Linked DNA regions of Arabidopsis thaliana. The protein of the gene in region 4 interacts with the protein of the main gene of each other region in a pairwise test. Each region holds a gene or a part of one and is shown on either strand. Other genes may lie near its edges.

The links.
Region 1: the proteins of AHBP-1B (region 4) and NPR3 interact in binary tests that used the Arabidopsis thaliana proteins (3 or more experiments, as listed by UniProt).
Region 2: the proteins of AHBP-1B (region 4) and AT2G25650 interact in binary tests that used the Arabidopsis thaliana proteins (3 or more experiments, as listed by UniProt).
Region 3: the proteins of AHBP-1B (region 4) and ROXY1 interact in binary tests that used the Arabidopsis thaliana proteins (3 or more experiments, as listed by UniProt).

The regions. Positions count from the first base shown.
Region 1 is NC_003076.8:18,226,532-18,232,787, reverse strand, and holds NPR3 (NPR1-like protein 3), read right to left. Parts: upstream 4,021-6,256; 5' UTR 3,470-4,020; coding exon 2,936-3,469; intron 2,848-2,935; coding exon 2,097-2,847; intron 2,023-2,096; coding exon 1,822-2,022; coding exon of another isoform or gene 1,757-1,821; exon of another isoform or gene 1,729-1,756; coding exon 1,454-1,728; 3' UTR 1,210-1,453; downstream 1-1,209. Other genes in the region: AT5G45113 (mitochondrial transcription termination factor-related / mTERF-like protein), read left to right, coding at 1-511. UniProt on the Arabidopsis thaliana protein: Salicylic acid (SA)-binding substrate-specific adapter of an E3 ubiquitin-protein ligase complex (CUL3-RBX1-BTB) which mediates the ubiquitination and subsequent proteasomal degradation of NPR1 in response to SA.
Region 2 is NC_003071.7:10,911,996-10,917,010, reverse strand, and holds AT2G25650 (DNA-binding storekeeper protein-related transcriptional regulator), read right to left. Parts: upstream 2,501-5,015; 5' UTR 2,247-2,500; coding exon 2,010-2,246; intron 1,929-2,009; coding exon 1,005-1,928; 3' UTR 795-1,004; downstream 1-794. Other genes in the region: emb2410 (embryo defective 2410), read left to right, coding at 30-302, 409-555; AT2G25640 (SPOC domain / Transcription elongation factor S-II protein), read right to left, coding at 3,103-3,303, 3,531-3,590, 3,966-4,086, 4,320-5,015. UniProt on the Arabidopsis thaliana protein: Probable transcription factor. May play redundant roles with GEBP and GPL2 in cytokinin responses by regulating the transcript levels of type-A ARR response genes. Involved in stress responses.
Region 3 is NC_003074.8:331,393-335,435, reverse strand, and holds ROXY1 (Thioredoxin superfamily protein), read left to right. Parts: upstream 1-2,363; 5' UTR 2,364-2,513; coding exon 2,514-2,924; 3' UTR 2,925-3,161; downstream 3,162-4,043. Other genes in the region: ACR6 (ACT domain repeat 6), read right to left, coding at 3,370-3,696, 3,807-3,911, 3,977-4,043. UniProt on the Arabidopsis thaliana protein: Has a glutathione-disulfide oxidoreductase activity in the presence of NADPH and glutathione reductase. Reduces low molecular weight disulfides and proteins.
Region 4 is NC_003076.8:2,148,858-2,155,708, forward strand, and holds AHBP-1B (bZIP transcription factor family protein), read left to right. Parts: upstream 1-1,982; 5' UTR 1,983-2,274; exon of another isoform or gene 2,275-2,278; intron 2,279-2,451; exon of another isoform or gene 2,452-2,940; intron 2,941-3,203; 5' UTR 3,204-3,265; exon of another isoform or gene 3,266-3,269; intron 3,270-3,357; 5' UTR 3,358-3,465; coding exon 3,466-3,531; intron 3,532-3,630; coding exon 3,631-3,702; intron 3,703-3,790; coding exon 3,791-3,850; intron 3,851-3,971; coding exon 3,972-4,049; intron 4,050-4,126; coding exon 4,127-4,178; intron 4,179-4,465; coding exon 4,466-4,737; intron 4,738-4,830; coding exon 4,831-5,076; intron 5,077-5,170; coding exon 5,171-5,317; 3' UTR 5,318-5,729; downstream 5,730-6,851. Other genes in the region: AT5G06940 (Leucine-rich repeat receptor-like protein kinase family protein), read right to left, coding at 1-1,914.

The DNA.
Region 1 (6,256 bases), about 16 Mb from region 4:
TAAAGGTAGAATTGAACTTGATTCACTGGATTCGAGGAATGCAGAGAAGACGACATTCTTGTTGAAGTTAGGGTATGTAGAGAATTCCGATGAGATGGTGAGGGCTCTGAAAAAGTTCCAAGGGAGGGGAGATGAGCTACAGGAGAGATTTGATTGCTTTGTGAAGGCTGGTTTGGACTATAATGTGGTTAGCCAGCTTGTTAAGCGGGCGCCTCATATACTTAACCGGCCGAAAGATATCATAGAAAAGAAGATCATTATGCTAATAGATTATTTGGTTTATCCAATAGAATCCGTGATAGAGTCCCCAACATATTTGTGTTATAGTATGAAGAGAATACATCAGAGATTCACAATGTACATTTGGTTGAGGGAAAGAGATGCAGTAATACCGAGGCTGACACTAGGCACTGTTGTCGGTATTTCTAATACCCTTATTGTGCCATACTTTGTCAATACCCACCCGGAAGGTCCAGCTACTTGGGAAAATATAAAGAAAGCATCTACCTGATTAACTGGTCCGTTCAATGATATAACGTTATCTTCAATCTAGTGCAGATGTCTGTTGATCTATAACATTTTCTCATTGCTTAGCTCACAACCAGTGAAACCTGGAAATTCTCAGTGCGATGGAGAGGATCACAGAATATGTCGATGCATAGTGAAGTATTTCCGCCTGTGGATTTGATTGTACCTCTCTACTCATCAGTATAGATATAGATGCCAACAAACGAACAAGGAAGGACTTCGAGAAAGCTGAAAGAACAAAGGCTCTCCGTAATGTTGAAACGCCACTGAACTCAGTGAAGTGAATTTTAGACTGGACTGAACAGAGTGACAAATTGGAAAGGCACAGTCCTTCGTTGGTACAATATTCTTCTATTGCTTTACGATGTTGGAAAGGCACACTTAACATATAATGCAACTTGAAATGCTTTCTTTGTTGAAGAAGACAGATAGACAGTATTGGTCAGACAAGCCCCTGCCCCGACCCTATGCCAAAGAGAGCAGCTAACATCTACTTACTGGGACATACATGTGACAGTTCTGTTCAGAATGCATTATTACAGGTTGTTTGGAAGAATGGTTTTTGTTCTTTACTCTTAGCCACCAGTAGTCTTATCTTCTGTAATTATGTAAAGAGATAGCTATGATTGACAAATGATCATGTTTTTTCCTGACTTTTTGTGGAGTGTCTTTGTTTGTTTAAGTTTCAGGTATCTGAGAATATCTTGTAGATAACCTAAATATTAGATTTTTGTATTGAAAACAAAAGATTGCGTATAGTTAGAACGTTTTGGGTTAATCAGCACTCCTAATCTTGTACATCTATCTATCCATCTCTCTTTATTGAAACTGAACCTAAAGCATCTGTATAAAATCTGAGTAACATCCATAAAGAAAAAACCCTTTTAACAAAGATATCTAATTACATTTGACTTATGGTGCAGTTTCATGTTGTGTTGTGCAGGTCATCTCTTATGGAAGAAGAAGAAGGAGAAGATGAAGCAGAAAGACAAGACCGCGCAATCTTAGACTCTTTGTCTTTGCTATATGCCTTTTGGACATCATCCTTAAGCTCTCTATATCTCATTCTTTTCAATCTTCTTTCATGTGTAGATCCCTTCTCAAAATGGAAATCGTCGAGGATGTCGTCGTCTATATACTCAGCCATGTACTTATCTAGAACCTCTGAACCATATGGAAAAAACCTTCGACCAGTCTCAACTGCATTGTGAAACGGTAATGAAGTCAGTCAAGAGAAAATGAGCAACATAAGAAGATGAAGGGTAGACTTACAGAGAGCAAGCTTTTTGTTACCTGTTTTCATTAGAGCCACCATACGAGTAAGAAGTCTTTGGGTTTGCATATGAGGAGTTTCGTTTAAATCAACCTGACTCAAGTTTCCGGTTAACCCACTCGAAGGAGGTGACAAACCCGTGAACTCACTTGTACCTTCTACGTTACCAATGTCCATAGCAACTTTAGCTTCCGTTGGAAAGAACAACTGAGCAAGCCCCACTGCAAAAAAGGTAGAAGCTTTAACAAAAATGTAGTAAAGATACAGAAGAATTCAGTAATTTTCAGTCAATTACCTCTCTTTTCTAGGTACAACAGTCTCATCTGGAGATCTTCAGGCATAGAAATGGAACACATTGGTGTATCTAGAACCATGGGGTTCTTCCTGATTTCTCTTTCCAAGATATCGATGCATAACCTGGCTTTACTAGATTCACGCCCTTTAGCTGTTTTGGTATGATAATCCTTTGGATTTGTCAGTCTTCTTAATATATTAACTGCGCTACGTCCGTCAGATGTAAACTCAGATGCATTGGCGCCTTTATCGATAAGCGATATAATGATCGATGGCTCTCTACGCATCGCAGCAAAATGAAGAACCGTGTAACCCCGGGAATTCCTGTAGTTCACATCACCCATATCCAGAGCAAGAATCTCGGCAACAACTTTCGGATCACTATACACAACAGAATAATGCAGACCATTGGCTTGATCTAGAGTGATATCTGACTCAGTCAAAAGAAGCTTCACAAGCTCAACATCATCTGAATCCAAGGCCTTGAGAATTTTACCGATTCTTTCAAGCAATTTCTCCGAAATCTTGGGACTGGTTTCTTCGTCTTGCGGGGATATAAGTCGAAGCTGTTTAATCTTCTCTGCTACTTCGGGAGGAACTTCCTTTTCAATACAGAACCTGTAAAGATCTGACCTCGCCACTCTCTCAATACACTGATCAAGAAGCTGAGTCAACTTACAATTGAAAGCAACCATAAGAATGGGAAGAACATTCTCAACAAGGGTCTTCTCCACAAAGTTACAAAGCCGCCGCTGCAAGCACACAAACCTTTTAGTTCTCATTGAGGTCTATGAATTAAGAAACAAAGAGACCGAAGAAAAAAGAAGACTTTTCACACACCTGAAAAGATGAAACTAGCTCAGGCACTTGGAGAACAGAGGAAGCATACATCAATTGAACAACAAAATCAATGGCAGGTCGACAACAATCATGAGAACAAACTGGATCAACACAAGTCGAAACCTCCAATGGAAAAGGCTTTAATCTCCCAGTATATATATAACTCAAGAAATACAAGAAAGCTTCATGAGCAACAGCTCCATAAGGTAACATCTCTCTCAACTGATACTTTGGTTTCTCAGTTTTCGAAATTTTCTTTTCTTTCTTAAACAAATCTTGGAAAAACTTACTTCTTGCAGCTAAAATGCATCTATGAACACCAACTGGAACACCATCAACAATGATCTCTGCATCACTGTAATCACAATCTGAATTACTAAGAAGCTGCTCAAGATTGGAGCTGAGTTTGGTTAGACTAACAACTTCAGGATTAGAAGCTGAGCTTGATGAGAAGTGATTGGACCCAATAGAACCATAAGAGAAATGAGAAGATGTGAAACTCAAAGATGATGATGGCTCAGTCAAAGTAGCCATTTTCTCTTCTTCTTCTTCTTGTAGAATTATCAATCTTGCATGAAGATCAAGAAGATTACACAAGTCTGAAGATCGGTTTCAGATACAAAAGCCCTAAATTTACATTTCTAACAAGGAATCAACCAAACCCAGAACCAAAAGAGGAAAATTTGTACACTTGGGGATTTGAGTTATGAAACTATTACTCTTACACCTCTGATTCAATGTACCACAAAAAAAAGTCAAAAGGAAAGGAAGAAACTTTGGACAAGGAATCAAACAAAATTGGGAGAGAAAATAAACCCTAAGAGAATCTGACACAACCAAGGATATAGAGATTGAGATCTGCACAATCGTAAGAGATAAGATCAAAGAGAAGGCAAAAGAACCAAATTGAGATGTATCAAAGAGATAAAAAGGAAGAGAATTTAGAGGAAAAGTCAAGAAAGAAAGAGAGGTATATAAAGGATAAATGATGATGAAATTGAGAACAAACAGGACACAACAGGTGCAAGTGATGGTGAAAGAAAGAGACAGCTTCAATGTGAAGGAAGATACAGAGGAAACAAGAGAGTTAATATAATAGTTTTTTTTGTAAATTTAATAATATGAATTAATAAGCATTAGAATTAAAAACATGGTCTAATAAAGTGTATAAAGAAAGACTCAAATGAAAGTTGACAAATAGAAAACAAAGACTAGAAAAATCCGTGTATGATGCCAAAGGTTCTCCGTGTATGACGCCACTCACTAACATTTTCCACATCTTTCTCTAATTTAACAAATCTATGGATAAACACATATTTTTTTTCTCATCAAAATCACTATTTTTATTTGACTGCGATATATCACATCATTAATATATTTTTATTTACATCATATTATTCAATAGTTTTAATTTGTTTCTTAGGTGTAAATAACTTGTAATGATATGCCAATTAATGCCGTCACGAAATAGCATTAAGTCAAGAAGATTAATATTAAGAAATAGCCGTCACTATTGATGACGGAAGGAAGTGACGAAAGCAAATACGAACGGCATATGAATGACGTGGCTTGTGTGTGGATTGCTGCAATGTGATGACGTATTAAACAATTACACTTTCGGAATAGTAGATAAATCATAAAGTAATAGTAGAGATTATAATAGGCAATAGCTATGCCTATAGTGGTCCAAATTTTTATTAAATTTATAATTTTGTGATGACCAAAGTCATTCTTTGTGGCCTAGTTCCAAATTTTAAGACATAAATAACGTTTTGAAATGAATTGAATATAGATATGAGGGACGACAATTTTGTCTTGATTTTTTTTTTTAAAACAAGAAGATTCTTGGCTTCGTAACAAAGTGGTGAAGTCTCTTATGCTAGCATTCTAGTCGCGTCGGAAATTCGACTCTACCTACAAGGCTACAAATACAATCGGTGAAATGCGTTAGCTGACTATTAAAAAAAAAAAAACTCTTTAAGGATAGTCGTTGAATAGTTTATTCATCAAATTTTTATATGAAATAAAATTTAATTAGCATTATTTCGATTGGCAATGATTCCTATGATTAAATTTTCGACTTTCGGTAATGCTATCGAATATAGAATTCTAACTATAAATATATATTTTTAACAAAAAATAACATATAAGTGTAAACTTGGATAGTGACAATGCAACGTCACTAATACAAATCATATTAGTATATTACTTTGACTTAAACTATCAAATATACGCTAAGTTTTGGTCACTAGTGACGCTGCGTTACTTTGGTAAACCATATGTTAATTTGTATCTTTCGTTCACTAAGTATCACTAAATCATATATTAAACCATCAACGTCACTAATACAAATCATATTACTATGGCTTAAATCATCAAATATGCGATAAGTTTTGGTCACTAAATAATTATTTTATGTATTACTTTGGCTAAAACCATCAAATATTAACAAGACAAAAAAAAGTTTCCTACCAATTCGTTATTTAGATCAGAAGTTTTAACCCATTCAAATTTACAAATTTCTTACATAAACTAAGTATAACGATGTAACCCATAAAGCCTTGAACTCACACAAGATTGAGGACATATATATTGGTAGTTATTCAAAATTGTTATATCACTTTATGACTCAAAAACGTAATTTGTTTTGTTGATGTCAATGGATTGATTTCTTTTGTTTTCATGTTTTTTTCTTTTTTTGCCATAAGACCAAAAACTTCAGGCTTTACTTCATGAAAATCCTAACACTTTTCATTTTAGTGGAATATTTAAATTCTTAACAAAAAGACAAAAACAAAACTCATACAAGAGATAAATCATTCTAAAGAGGAGTGTAAACTAGTAAAGCGTGACCTAACACAAGAGATAAAAATCATTCTAAGAGGAATTGGAAACGAAACTTAACTTGATGAAACAATTAAAAAGAAAAATAACAAAACAAAAAGAAAACTCTTAAATTTTCCATAAAAATATATAGTCAATGCCGGCTTAACTATAGGGGCCGATAATATAAACTTATAGGGTACATAACTACATATACATAAATTTATAGGGCACAAAAAAAAAAATCTATACAAGATGGACACAATTTGTTTTTTGTATATACTCAAAAGGCACCTAATGTTTTTGTTAAAAGAAGAAGTATATAAAAAAATTATGATATTAAGGAATATATCTTTTAAATTTGTCCCAAAGCATCTAAAATGTATGAACCTGTATATGATGAACTTTTTTATATTTTGGAAGAGAAAACAACCTTGATGACTCATGTAAATGTATTACTGGAAATAAAAATTGAAGCATCGATCCAATGGGGTGGTG
Region 2 (5,015 bases), on a different chromosome or scaffold from region 4:
ATCTCTGTTTAATAATCTCCCTTTCGCAGGCTGCAAAGGTGTTTGAGAGCCAATTAGCAGAATCCATATTAGAAGGAGATGGACAACTTGCTTTCAAAAAACTTGCAACCGCAACACTTGGAACCATAATGCCAAGGATAGAAGGAAAAGGAGAGTTTGGTCAGGCGAGATGGAGGTTGGTGTATGCTCCGCAGATCCCAAGTTTACTCTCTGTTGATCCAACTGTGGATCCTCTCAAGTCTCTGGCGAGCAACATATCATTTGGAACGGAAGTTGAAGTGCAGCTCGGAAAACGTCTTCAGGTCAGGCATAAACATTGAAATCTTCTTTCTTCTCCATATGGCCTCATTTTTTTCAAAACCTAACCAAAATAAGCACTCCACGGTTCTTGCTGTCTTTTATCTACAGGCCTCTGTGGTAAGACAGATGAAAGATTCTGAGATGGCAATGCAATGGACACTTATTTACCAGCTCACGAGCCGCTTGCGTGTCCTTCTGCAATCTGCACCTTCCAAACGTTTGCTTTTTGAATACTCTGCTACATCACAAGACTAAATCCTTTTGTCTTCCTCTGTCGGATTCATATGGATATAAGCCGTTTGTTGCAAAGGAAGTGCATTTTGGAATAGCATGGTTTTGGTGACTACCGACAAGAAAAATTATTTTATTATTTGGTCAGTCTTTCTTTGTGCACTTCTTCTGGCCTTTTAGTGGTTAAAAATGTAAAAATTACATTGTAAATGCCTTTTGTTAGGGAATGCATATAAAATGTTTTGCCACTTCATTGACTGATTGGTGCAACAAGAAAGTAATGAAATTTATTATATCCAACAATGGACATGGATGGCTCTTCTGGATACTTCAGTTAAAACTGGAATGTCTTACAAACACTTGCCCAAACAGAACAAAGACAACATCCAAAGATATACACTGAACAGACTAAAGCTTATGGCTTACTAAGAACCTAATTAACACCAAATGCTACAACGGCTTATTGGTTTCATCTAACTATCATTAGCTGCCTCTGCAAGCTTGGCGGAAAATCTAAGCTTCTTGATATTCAATCTTCTTTCCTCAACACATAACGCTTTCCATTCATCACTCAACTCTCTTCTTTTTCCAGTTCCAAGGTTCATCAGCTTCTCAAGCTGCAACTTCTTTTGATAACCACTTAAACCTTGCGACATTACAGCCTCAAATGCATCCTGCACAGCGCATAACTCATCATCATCATCGTCATCATGTCTCTCTTTTCCACCAGTAGTCCCGTTCTCTGTTGTTTTCGCTGCCCCATTCTCATTTACAAGTTCAGTATTAGCCACTTCCTCATGCTCCTTCAACATCTCCTCACTCTCGCTCTCGCTCTGCTGTGCTATTTGAGTAGTCCCGTTATTGTCTCTTATATTCTCTGCACCATTCTCATTAAAGGGTTCCTCATGCTCCTTCAACATCTCCTCCTCGCTCTCGCTCTCGAGCTGCTGTGCTTTCCGAGCAGTCTCGTCGTTGTCTCTTATCTCCTCTGCACCATTCTCATTTAACGTTTCCTCATGCTCCTTTAACATCTCCTCCCCACTCTCGTTCTCCTGTGCTATTCGAGCAGTCCCATTTTCAGCTGCGCCATTTCCGTTTACATCGTGCTCCTTCACCATCTCCTTATCCATACCATCATCATTACCAAATTCACCTTGTCCCCAAATCATCGAAGAAAATCCAAAGGCTTCAGAATCACTAGACCTAGTAAATTTCGGATCATTCCCTTCACTGATTTTCTCCCAATGAACATGAAATCTCCTTTTCAACTTCCTGATCTTACTCAAAACCTGCTCCTTGGAGAATTTCGCAACGATAGAACTTCCGAGGAAACTGTAAAACGCATCCCAATCAATTTTGGGATTGAATCCTGTCTTAGCTCTGTAATCAACTAATCCCTGAGAAATTTCGAATCTGGTTTTGAGAAAATCAGAATGCAAAACCAAATCAAAGTGTAACGGAGAAGATGAATAGAATACCTTTAAGATAGAGAGCTCATCTTCCTCGTTCCAGATCCGGACGATCAACGGCGGACCCAAATTCTTCTTCTTCTTCTTCTTTTTCTTCTTCATAGTCTCTTCGCCTGCTTCTGCTGCGAAGGAAGCAGCAGCACGCTTTGAGGAAGGATTCCGTGGAGATTCTCGATGGGAGAGGGTATCGTCGGAGTTATCACCACCACCACAGGAAGAGAAATCGATCTGCTTCGGAGTCACCATGGTAATTGCTTTACACTTGCTGATTCTAGAGGCATGCAGAGAAACCCTAAATCAGGAAATCATATTAACAAAATTGATCAGTGATTCCCAAATTTTCACGACCTTTAAAAAGTGAAACCCGAGAGAAAAAAAAGCTAGTCTTTCCAAATTTCTGAATCGAGCTGGTCAAAAAATATCATGACTGAAATTTTCTCTGCACTTCTGTTTTATAGTATAATCGATAGGAGTGGATTTTGTTACTTTTGTACTTTTTGTTACAGAAAGGAGCAATATATTAGCGGGCTGCGCAAGCCCATCTTACTAATAAAGTGCCAAATATCGGTGACTGTTGAGAGAAAATCACAAAATTTGGAAAGCAGTGTTGCCTGCAACAGAAAATGCATAACAAACACAAAATTGCTAAGGTGAAACAAAAAACAATTAATATCCTCCTCTGCCATCCTGATGAGACCACCACTCACTACATGGTCTAACCATCGAGCCACCATTTACATGAGTAACCCCAAGAGTCCAGTTAGATTGAGGCTGCCACTCTGGTAGTATATCATTGTCATTATCATTATAACTTTGGTTCCTCAAAGGTTCAGATTTTCCATATTTTTGAATAAGCTCTCTTACAGATACAGACCGGCTTGTCCGGTTCACGACAACATCCCCACTGGAAAAATAGTTAAATTCAGGCAAGTCATCATCTTCATCCCGAGCCATGGTCATTGGGCCAAACCCCGGTGGCACATCATCACCATCGTCATTGTTGACCTGTAGCATGTTACTGTAACGAGAAGTATTATATGTGGTTAACGAAGAACCCTTTTCACGGTGGTTCTTGTGAGAGTTGTTAGATAGTGGTGATTTTTTAAATTGTGTGTCTTCTCCATACAACAACACCTATAAGACCATCATCATTTATAGATTTCAAGAAATCGAGTTGGTTTCTCGGAACAATCTTGTTTAGAATCTCGACAGTTCTCCCACGGGTTGGGCATAGGTATAGCTCAACTCCTGAAGCTGGTTCTGCATAACCCACCCTCCCATCTTTAGCGTATGAATCCACCACCTGTATAGTAACAAAACCAAATGCCCAAATTTCGTTACCAAGTTAGACATTCTACAGATATTTAGGAGTGTTTCAATTTAAATTCGGTTTGGGTTTTCAGTTTGTACAGATTCGCGTTCAGTTTTGATCAAATAAATCATTAATATTCAAATAAATCTCAAGTTTTTTTAATCATCTTTTCGTTTATTTGGATACACAGAATCTTGGTTAACTACCAACGCTCATACCTCGGAAATGTTCTCTTGTTCTGTCTTTGAGCACTCTTCTTTGCAGACGAAACACATAACCTGTAACACGAAAGCAAGGTTTCAGAAGTACCATGATGGATAAACGAGTTCATCACATACATATAGAATCGAGAACAAACAGGTCTTAGTTTTATTGGAATATGGAGGCCTATTCAAGAAACATAAGCTATGCAATTGTTCTGGTGAAAATATTTTTGTAAGTCCATCTATCTCCATTGTGATTCACAGATGTAATGTATTTTTCTCAATCATTCACAAATCAGTATTGGCCGTTAATCTCTCCTCTTCTTTCCTAAATGCTTCTACTTAAGCTTGGTTAAACGTCACAGTTAATAGCTTTTGCAGGGGCTCAAACACAGAATGCGTATATAAAACATGTACATTAATGATAGAGGTAAACGTGTAGACAAATACCATTACAGCACGACTCCTGGAATTTGGGAGCTCTCGAACAAACTTCTCAAATGCATCTAATCTGACTCTACCCTTAATCTCGAGCAAAATAGGCCACTCTTTTGTAGTAGTCTTTTCGCCACTGTGAAGCGTAAAAATCAGGTTGGTAAACATGGTATCAATAACAGCGAAGCCATATTCATTAAAAAAACATTTTATAGAGCTGATAAGCACTAGAATAGTATAGATAAGTAGTAACATGTAGACTAAATAAAGAAAGCTATTCATATATGCAAACCTAAATTTGGAAATGTGGAATAAAAAAAAAATACTGAGATAGGTTTGCTACCACTCATGAAACAATTTATTACAAACCTTCTTAGAATGCCGATGACAGAGCTCACAGTAGAAGGACTCAGCTGGAGCACACCTTCCCATAAACGTTCACCATCAGGTATGAAAACAGATGTAGTTTTGGATTTCAAATCAGAACTAGGCTTTGACGATACTATGTCAGCATCCTCAGCGTTAACAGGTGATGATGCCTTAGCCGTAAGTGGTGACAATGCCTCAGCCTTAACTGGTGATGTACAAAGATCAATATTAGCACTTTCTTTGGGTGATGAAACTAAAACCTCCTCTACATCATTATTATCTGAAACAGAAGGTTTTTTCTCAGTATCTGAAGACAAAAAGCCAGACGGAGATTCAGAATCTATGGATGACATGAATTCATCAAGAGAGACAATTGGAGGAAGAGATCCAGTGGCAGCCTGCATCTCATCATCTATTGTGACTCCGTTTATTGGCCCAGTGCTCTCATTAGAGCTGTTCAATTCATTCTTGACTCCAAGAGTTTTCGTGATGGAAGGGGTTTTCTTCTTAAAATTCTTTGTTCGAGACCAGTTAATCGAACTCATTCCAACAGAGACCTCTACAGAACCACTATCCATTGGTTCAACTTCCACTTGGAACTCTCCTTTGTGTGTTTTCCTTACTAGGCTTCTGATATCCACCTCAGTGTCCTGCAGAACAACCATCTGAGCCATCTCTTCTGCTTTTGCTTGTCGC
Region 3 (4,043 bases), on a different chromosome or scaffold from region 4:
CCATGCACCTGCATGCAGAACAACATATCGACGTATATCTCGATGAAATACTTTTATCTTTTGGTGAAATAATAAGATAGTTAGTGTTAGTGATAAAGATGAGTGGGATTGCAGTTTGCATGGGCTTAGGGTTATATACTAATTATAAATGAGGATTTTTAGGGGAATTCGTGAGCACTCCCACAATACCCTCACCGCCTTTTCGCCGCGACACCGACATGCGATATCTTCCTTTTTCTTTTGCCTTCTTTTTTGTTTTTACGTTTTCCATTTATTTTTTTACTAACTAAAGCTTTTTGGAAATTCAATATACATTATAACATATATACATGTTCCATAGCATATACAGCTACACCACGCGCATACATAGGCACAGATATGTACCTTCCTCTGTATCAGTGTATTACAGATATATATGAGCCAGCTGTTTGTATATATATAATATATACATTGTTTTATAACCCGTAGGGACATATCTTGGTCAGGTGTTGGAATCAGACTCGGACCATTATACTTCGACGATAGAACTCTCTAAAGCTTATTTTAGGGTTTAGTTCAAACCCCACCTTTCATCTCCCTATCGGCTTTGTTTCACCGTAAGAGGTAAAAAAAAAACGAAATTTGAAAATATAAAAATATGAAATGAAGATATATTTATAACAAAGCACAACATTAATATTGTGCAAAGAGAGACATACACACAGATATTTATAAATGGCAAAGACCAGATAAAGCTGAAAAGATAGCATCACGCTCGTATTCTTTCTATTTTTTATTTTGATATCAATTTATATATTTTGTTGTACTAATTAATATAGGCCAGAGGGCTCTCGTTTCCTGCCATCTAACCCTACCCGTCCGATCGATCAAAATCTCTTTTTTTTTTTTCTTTTTCTCTCTAAAATGTTTTTTTTTACAAGAAGAAAATCATCTTTTTATTGATAATCATAAAACGAAAGATTTTTAAAGTTTTGTATAATGTTAGCCTTGTATATACATATTTAAACTTTGAAGAATAAAAAAAAAAGCCAAAAACAGAAAAGAGCTAGATCAATATACAAAGGAATAAGGAATGTTCAAAGTTTCAAGTTTCAGGCGTTGAATACGAACTTCAGAAATGTTCAAAATACCCTTATTGAAAAGCATGTACATACGCTACTCGAAAGGGTTAATATCGGAGAATCGGTTGAACAGATCAAACATTGTATGACAAGTGTTACGTAAGTCTTCTGTCAGGAAAACTAGATTTTTAAAAAAAAAATCAAAAATCAAAGGTAAAGCGATCCGACAACCACAATCCGACAAGATTATTTATCTTTTACGATTTCTCATGCAAAGATTTTTTTCCAGAAAAGAAATACATGAGTTTAAACACTAAAAGAAGTAACTTTCTTTTTCAGCTAGAGGGAGCATAACTGTACGGACTTCTCTTACTATATTCAATATACATATAAAATCTTCTCTTCCATCAATCCTTCGTTTTAAATCTCATTTTAAGATTTAATTTATTGTGGAGCTCAAACCTGAGACACACAAAAAAGGCATTTCGTGTATAAAGGACACAAGCGTGGAAGCCAAAAGCATGTCACAAACTACAAACTTTGTAAACTTTGAAGAAAAAAAAAAAAGGCTTTTTCTATATAAAATTGTTCAAATTTTAATATTGTTATAATTAAACCCATCCAAATTAATTCATGGGTGCTGTTCTTATAAAATATGTACACATCATAATTCTCGAGTCATAATTCTTTTTCTATATATATAAGGAGGATGCTATTAATCTGGATAAGAAACATAAGATTCTGACTCCTTAACAAATTATGATGTGATGATTACACATTTGCTGGATTGATGATTACTCGGTCGTATGGAATTATATATTTTACAGAGTAGAATGGAATAAAAGAAAAACCCTGCCAAAATCCATATTGTACAGATTGAGGGAGCTTATCTACGTGGAAATTATGGTTTCTTACTTTATGATCATGTATCTGAAAATACAAAGAAAGAAAAAGAGAGAATTAAGTGGTAAGAAAATTAATGGTGAGAGCGGTAAGAGCCGACAAGAAGGACAGACGGAGCCGTCTATTACCAACAACTCCCTTCTGATAAAAGCCTGTTCTTCAACTCTCCTTGCCTTTTTTTTTTTTTTTACAAAAAAATGAAATTATTCCGATAACTATTATCGGTGTTTGTTTTCAACAGCAATCACTATCTTGATGTCATCGGTTTTAATTCATATGTTTTGTTACTTTTTTTCTTTTTTTCATGGAGAAGTAAATAGAGGTCATGTTATTATACACAAATAATAAAGAAAGAAACAATAATACTAATAATTAGAGGAAAACAGAGTTAGACTCAGAGGTGTAGTAGGCCTCTATAAATACTCTGCATGGCTCTCACTCTCTTCTCACCAACAAACTTTAGCCAATCCCTCTTTCTCTCTTATTCGTGTTTAATCTAGTTTCTTTCCAAACAAAAGTGTAACAAGAGAAAGAGAAGAGATATCAAAGATGCAATACCAGACAGAATCGTGGGGATCATACAAGATGAGCAGCTTAGGATTCGGCGGTTTGGGGATGGTGGCTGACACTGGTCTGCTTCGTATAGAGTCCCTGGCTTCTGAGAGCGCGGTGGTGATCTTCAGCGTGAGCACGTGCTGCATGTGCCACGCCGTGAAGGGTCTCTTCAGAGGAATGGGCGTCAGCCCCGCCGTCCACGAGCTCGACCTCCACCCCTACGGCGGCGACATCCAGCGAGCCCTCATTCGTCTCCTCGGCTGCTCCGGCTCCTCTTCTCCAGGGTCTCTCCCGGTCGTCTTCATCGGCGGTAAACTGGTTGGAGCTATGGACAGAGTCATGGCTTCTCACATAAACGGCTCTCTCGTTCCTCTTCTCAAAGACGCCGGCGCTCTCTGGCTCTGATCCCTTCCTCTGCTTTCTTTTTTCTTTTCTATTTGAAGTTTTCTTGTAAGAGAATGTGGTGGAGGAAGATTAGGAAACTAGTCAATGGCTGTAATGACAGGTTTTAGATTATAGTTTGTAATTAGAGAGAGAGTTGTTTTAAGCTCACCTTTCTCTGTCTTCCTCTTCTTCATCTCTTATTGATCTTTCGAATGCTCTCATTAAATCATAATAGTAAACACTTTGCATCTTTATTAATGTCCCCTGGATCCATTAATCAACGGTATTAACTGACGCCGTATCTATTCAAAGGCAGTTCCTGTTATTTTGTTCACACAAATTTACACACAAGGGACTTGTTGAGAGGGGATCGCTACGATCAGCTTAAATGATGCCCTACTCTGTCTAACCTATACAAAGCACACACACACTCTATGACTATGAGTGAGATAGGTGAAGCTTGAAGCTACTTGGGTTTGAAGATGTTACTTAGCAAATACCCCATTGTAGTTGTTTCGTGCGAAGGCCTGCTTGTACCAAGAACAGAGCAATGCTCCTTCTCCTTCTTCTTCACCTTCAGCTTGCTTACTCCTATCTGTTGTCTGATTGACTCCACGATTTTTGATTCAACCGGGTTTCCAGTCACGTCTGTAACGTAGAACGTGTCTTTAGCCTTACCCTCTCGCGTTGATATCTCTGCTCTCACAATGGTTAAGCTGTTCTCTCGGAATGTTCTGGTTATGTCTGAGAGAAGACCAACTCGGTCTTCTGCTGATAATTCCAGCTCTAAACCCTGAAAGTATGTTTCATATGCACAATCTGTCTTGAGTATATCAGAAATCGATGCAGAACAGAATGTAATTTGAGCCAAGACAGAGAATTTTCACATTCCTAATTGGTTACCTCCGATGCTCTCCTCTCAATGGCTGCTTCCAGACATTGTATGACACGTTCTTGCTCTGCTTCTGAGTTTATGGGAAGTCCATCCACATGACGGATGTAAAATTCCTGCAGCAAAACACTCATATTATTGTTAGAAGAGAGATCCCAACAGACGGCCGTTGAGTAGTTACCTGATAAGCCTCCACTGGTTCTGTGCTGACCATGCCATGGAACACCACATACTGCATATCAGTCAAA
Region 4 (6,851 bases):
TGCTATGGTTCTCACTTGAGCTTTCAGAGATTTCGAGGATATATTCTTAGAATTCACAAGCTTCTTCACAGCTAATAACTCCCCACTAGATAAACTGAGAACGTATACTTCACTTCCGGAAGGACAACTTTCATTCACCACTTTCATCAACTCATGCTCAGTTAACTTGAAGGGATAATAAAACTCCGAGCGCCAAGTACTCTTGAATTGCACTTTCTTTCGAGAATAACGATATAACACCGCAAGGAAAGTGGCAATAGCAAGTGCTAAACATATCAAAGATAACACCAACGCTTTACCACCTTTTTTATGGAAGTTAGACCGATCAGAGGAGCAAGAATTGGGTAAACCGGGTCCACAAAGCTCAGGATTTCCTTGCAGAAAGGAAGCTGGTAACCCGGAGACCAGAGAGTGAGGTACCTCACCTGATAATCCATTGAATGACACGTTAAAAAGAGCAAGCTTTAGGTTCTGTAAGCCTTGAGGGATCAAACCAGTAAGACTATTATCAGATAGATCAAGATAGGTCAGAACATGTAAATCAGCAAGTGATGGCGGGATTTCTCCGGTGAATGCATTGCCTGCTAGAGACAAAGAGACAAGCTTCTTGCAGTTTTTCAGTTCTGGGATCTTTCCTAAGAGCCTATTGTGAGAGATGTTTACAATACTAAGGACAGGTGAGTCGCAAAAATTCGGCGGTAACTCTCCACTAAACCGGTTTTGTGAAGCAGAAAACTTATACAAGCTCTTAACCAATCCAAGACCATGTGGGATTTCACCAGAAAAGGAATTGTTGACTATCTCAACTTGCTCCAATGCAGAAGCCAAAGACACAGACTCTGGCACTTGACCTGTGAACCGATTATTATCCGCTCTAATAATCTTAATCCTGGGTAATTTCCACAACACAACTGGAAACTCACCAGAAAATCCATTGTTCTGCACTTGAAGCCTCTCCAGACTAAGGCATTCACCAATGGAGTTAGGCAATGACCCTTCAAAGAAATTCGAGTGGAGAGAAAGGTTAATAAGCCTTTTACCACTGCAAATGCCACTAGGGAAAGAGCCAGATAACTTATTCTGTGAGACATCAAGAGACACTAAGTTCTTGAGAGAAGGGCCTAATGATCGAGGAATCTCACCACTCAGGTTGTTCAAACTCAGATCCAAGGTTCTCAAACTTGTCAAACCAACAAACGAAGTAGGAATCTCTCCATGGAACCCTGACCTATGCAACAGAAGCTGTTCAAGCTTGTCTAGCTTCCCAAGAAAAGAAGGAATCTCACTAACCAAATAGCTGTTTTCAGACAAATCAAGAACAACAAGCTCACTTAGCTTCCCAATAGCAGGAGGGACGATACCAGTGAGCAAATTACTTCCCAAGTTGAGAACTTGGAGATTAAACAATAACCCTAAATCTTCTGGAATCATACCTTCGACATGGTTACTGCTAAAGTCAATAACTTTCAAGGAACTAAACTCAGAAATCTGATCAGGGATTGTGCCCCAGATGAGATTAGAGCTGAGATTAAGAGTCTCTAAAGTAACACAACGAGACAACTGAAGTGGGATAGGCTGATTGAAGAAGTTCAAGGAGAGGTCAAGGTGAGTGAGGTAAGGGAGGTCACAAATGGAGTCAGAGATTTCACCAGAAAGATTCAAACTTTGAAGGTTAATGGAAGAGACGTAAAGAGTAGGAGCTCTAGTACATGTGATACCAGTCCAGTTACAATGGTGCGAAGAAGAAGTGTTAAACCAACCTGAAAGAGAGCCTTTTGGATCATCAAAGGAGGCTTTGAATCTGAGAAGGTTACCAAGTTCCTCGTTCTCTGTGAAAGAGAAGGTCTTGGTGAAGAAGAAGAAGAATGTCAAGGCTAGTGAGATTGAAAACTGGTGCTTGAATCTGGTAGCCATTAATGAGTTAAGAATAGAGAATGAAGAGGATCTGCTGAATGAGTGAAGTAGTGAGAGAGTGAGAGTGAGAGTGAGAGTGAGAGTGAGAGTGAATTGAATTTCAGGTGTTGAAAATACGGGGTGGGTTTTGCAATTATAAGATAGTAGGGTTGGTTAATGGTAAAAATAAAGAGTATAGGGTTTAGTTTGAAATTTCCCGTTAAATTTTGGTCGAGGGTCTATGGGGAACTGGTAGATTTGTAGACAAAACGACGTCTCGGAGATTGGAATTTCGGATCGTGTCTCTCTCTGTTTCTTTGTTTCAATCCGATTTCGAATCAAGCCCTTTACTTGTGCACCTTCAAGATTTCGTTTTTCCAGGTCAGTTTCTTCATCAAGCCAACCTTTTTTTCTAGGGTTTTTCTTCCTTTGTTTTTTTTCTGGGAGTTTTCTCCTTCACAGTCCTAAGAAGCTACTTGTTAACTCTGTCTTTTTGCTTTTGAAGTTAAACCTAGTTGACTTTCTCAAGCTTAAAGAGTTCAGCTTTTTTTTTTTTTTAATTGGTGATTTTGTTCTTAATTTTGAGCTACCAAAATCATCGAATTAAATGTTAATCTCTTGAATTCTGTTTCGGTGGTAGTTTCTTGGTTTGAAATCATAGCTGCAGCTTCATGCCGAATTCTCACTGGTTCTAGATTTAGAGTTTAGCTTTTTTTTTTTACTTTACTCGGATATGAATACTGAGTAAGGAATTGAGTCAACTCGGATGTGAATACTGAATAGTTTTTGTTCTAGCTAGAGTTGCAAAACTAAGAGATTCAGCTACTGAAGCTACTTTAGTGTCATTCAAACTGAATTGAAATGATGTGTGTGAGTGTGACTGTACCTAATTTTTCAAACTCAGGCATTTTCGACTGTGCCAACACCTTAAGTCTCACTGATTTTGACTTTGATCCGCGAGCTAAGCTTAAGGTCTGAATGAGTTTCTCAGACTTTGTAGATTGTGCAAGCTACATGTCTGATTGGGTTTGATGAATTGCTTTAAAGGTTGTGTTTTTGATGGGCTATTTTTGTCAGTCTGTTAGCTACAAACAGATTGTTCTTATATATTTGACTTTGTGACTTATGGTAGTCAGCAGAATTTCCCTTAGGACACTTTGAATAAGTAAAGGACTCTTTAGCATTCTTTAGCTGGCTTGTTTAACTGAAACAAACTAGAGAACCTTTTTCTTGACTTTATAGGACATAATTGAAAACTATGTTAGCAAAAGAGATGGTATGTAATGCTGTTTTTTTTTGTGCTCATTCAGCGCAGCCAATGCTCCGGGTGACCAACATTTGTTCCTGATTCATTTCCTATTGATTCGTATTGGTAGGTGTTGATCTTTCTTTTATATTCTATCACCTAATTTTGTTCTTTCTGTCTTTTTTTCTTTTTCTTAATTTCCTTCCGAATCCTGGCAGTCTGTGCACACAAGAGAAATTTCAAGAAGTTGTTACTAAAAGAGAGGCCACAAGTGGATATTGTCTTTGTTATCAAGTGTTAGTACAGAAAAGTGGTGAGAAAGTAATATGGCTGATACCAGTCCGAGAACTGATGTCTCAACAGATGACGACACAGATCATCCTGATCTTGGGGTTAGCTCATAATCTGGCTAGATTTTATCACTTATATTCTTCAAAATAGTGTGATTTTTTATGGACCAAACAAAAATTCTGGTGTTAATTTTAATGCAGTCGGAGGGAGCACTAGTGAATACTGCTGCTTCTGATTCGAGTGACCGATCGAAGGGAAAGATGGATCAAAAGGTGACATGTCCATCTCTGTAGATAAGATCACTGTTTTTATTCAGCCAATTTATAATCTCTTTTTGTTTCCTTATATTTTGATCCATAGACTCTTCGTAGGCTTGCTCAAAACCGTGAGGCAGCAAGGAAAAGCAGATTGAGGAAGAAGGTATATTACCTTCCATTGGTTTTATCTTTTTTTACTTTTTCTTTTCTTTTTAAATTGGTGCATCGCTAGAAGCATAGCTATTTGGTACTACGTTAATTCCTTTTAATTGCTCCCTCCATAGGCTTATGTTCAGCAGCTAGAGAACAGCCGCTTGAAACTAACCCAGCTTGAGCAGGAGCTGCAAAGAGCAAGACAGCAGGTTCAAATTTGTTTCTTATTTCTATTGATTTTTATTTTGTTATTCTGTATACCTAACGGTAAATTTCTTGTTTCTAGGGCGTCTTCATTTCAGGCACAGGAGACCAGGCCCATTCTACTGGTGGAAATGGTTGGTTGCTTATTCTCCATTAGTTTTAATTATGTTTATTTTTTGGCTTCTAATTTGTGTATAAGTTAAGTTCATATATCAACTTCCTGTTGACTTGGTGTAGACTGATCAATTAGTACATCATATCTCATCCCATTACAATACACTGGGTTATCAGAGTCAGTGGCAGACTGACATGGTTCTGATAGCAAAAACTGTTATTCTAATTAGCACTGGTGTAGATTTAGATTTACAAGATGACGAATCTCATGGGTTTGTTTTGATCATGTATAAATTTTTTAATTCAGGTGCTTTGGCGTTTGATGCTGAACATTCACGGTGGTTGGAAGAAAAGAACAAGCAAATGAACGAGCTGAGGTCTGCTCTGAATGCGCATGCAGGTGATTCTGAGCTTCGAATAATAGTCGATGGTGTGATGGCTCACTATGAGGAGCTTTTCAGGATAAAGAGCAATGCAGCTAAGAATGATGTCTTTCACTTGCTATCTGGCATGTGGAAAACACCAGCTGAGAGATGTTTCTTGTGGCTCGGTGGATTTCGTTCATCCGAACTTCTAAAGGTGAGGTCAAATTTCACTTTGTCTTCACCGATTGCATCTGTTTCTACATAGAACATAAAAAGAATGGTCATAGGGAAAAATGTGTTGAAACAGCTTCTGGCGAATCAGTTGGAGCCAATGACAGAGAGACAGTTGATGGGCATAAATAACCTGCAACAGACATCGCAGCAGGCTGAAGATGCTTTGTCTCAAGGGATGGAGAGCTTACAACAGTCACTAGCTGATACTTTATCGAGCGGGACTCTTGGTTCAAGTTCATCAGGGAATGTCGCAAGCTACATGGGTCAGATGGCCATGGCAATGGGAAAGTTAGGTACACTCGAAGGATTTATCCGCCAGGTACAACACTTGTGATGTTTTGAGATGATATCTTAGTTAAGAGTATATATATATATCAATAGGTTAATAATCGTCTCTTGGTTGGTGGTGGCAGGCTGATAATTTGAGACTACAAACATTGCAACAGATGATAAGAGTATTAACAACGAGACAGTCAGCACGTGCTCTACTTGCAATACACGATTACTTCTCACGGCTACGAGCTCTAAGCTCCTTATGGCTTGCTCGACCCAGAGAGTGAAACTGTATTTTGGTCACATGTCAGCTGTACAAAATCCATATGGACACAAAACCAGGAGAGACTATTAATCAACACTTGTCAGATTCTTCTTACCAAATCCATCAACAAATAAGCAAATTTCTGGGAAACAAAAGACTCTTTGTATGTAGGTTTCTTCTACATGGTTGTGGTAATTCATGTTGTTTTAGTTGTAGTCATCAGTTTTTAATTTAGCATTTGAAAAGTTCAATGTTGTTTATATAGCATCTTCGATTATCTTAGAAAGGTTATTGAATTTTGTTTTTTTTTGTTACTTTTGTGTGTGGTAAAGGTGTTTTAACCTTGCAACTTCTGTACTGTAATCATTTAACAATATTAAGATGTTCTATTTGAGTTTTGTAGTTTCATCGCTTGTGTCTTAAATCTTATTTAGTGAGGATTCTAATGTAAACTTCCAAGAGATGATGAAAATGAATTTACATTCAAAGTAAGTGTGATAGATTTTTTTGTAATAAAAAAAGGGACATGTCATTGTCAAAACCAAGAATTATTTTGTTTTTAGAAAAAAGAGAGTGTTGCAATTTTCAGAGGACTTTTTAACCCTCAGCATCTAGAGGTCCACCATCACTTGAGTTTCGTCTTCCATTCCTGTTTTTTTTCAGAGACCGGCAAAATAAAAAAAAAGAAGATCGTACAACTAAAAATACCTCAAAGAAGGAAGATACAAAAGTAGTAACCTTTGTTGGTGATTGATACTATATCTGTTGTGGGTTTTAGACAAAGACCACGTCTTTGCAGTTGTAGATTGGAATTTTCCGGATCTTTCTCTAAATCGCTTTTTCTCCGAGCAACTTTTGTTTGGGGTTAAGCTCAAAGAATCCGTTCTTTTCAGGTGAGTCTCTTCTTCAATAGTCTTAGGGGTTTTAGTTCTTCAGTTTTCTTATTCTGCCTCTGCTTTCATGATTGTTTTTTTCCATTGAAGATTTTGACCTTTGAGGGAATTTTTTCCTTTTTGCTTTATGTACGTGTTAAGGATCCAAAATCATTATTTCGGACACTATTTAAACGAATTGGTTGAGATTTGATGTTATGAAGCTTGAATTTTGTGTCTTTTACTCTGTTTCCGGGGCTAGTTTGCTAAATTCTGAATCTTTTAGCTCTACTTCAGTCTAATGTTCAGATTAGTTACTGTTTCACCTCACGGAGAGCTTTACGCTATAGAAGTCCGTTGGTTCTCATTTCAAATCATATAGGCGTGCTTATTGTTTACTTTGATTCTCTGGCTTTGAATACTCAAAGTTCTTGAGGTCATTGGTTGCTTCACAGCTATGTGTTAAGTTTAGTGGTTTGGATCTTTATGTTAGTGTGACATAAATAGGGTGATGTATCGTATCATTGTTTCCACTTTCTTGATTCTACTTAATGCGTTGGTTTTTGGCTTAAAAATATGTTTTCTTTCTCTATAACTCTAATCTTTTGTTTATGTTTACCATCTTACTTTTGACAGTCTTTACTCCATCTAGGGTACCACGATTGGATCGGTTTTTATCTGATG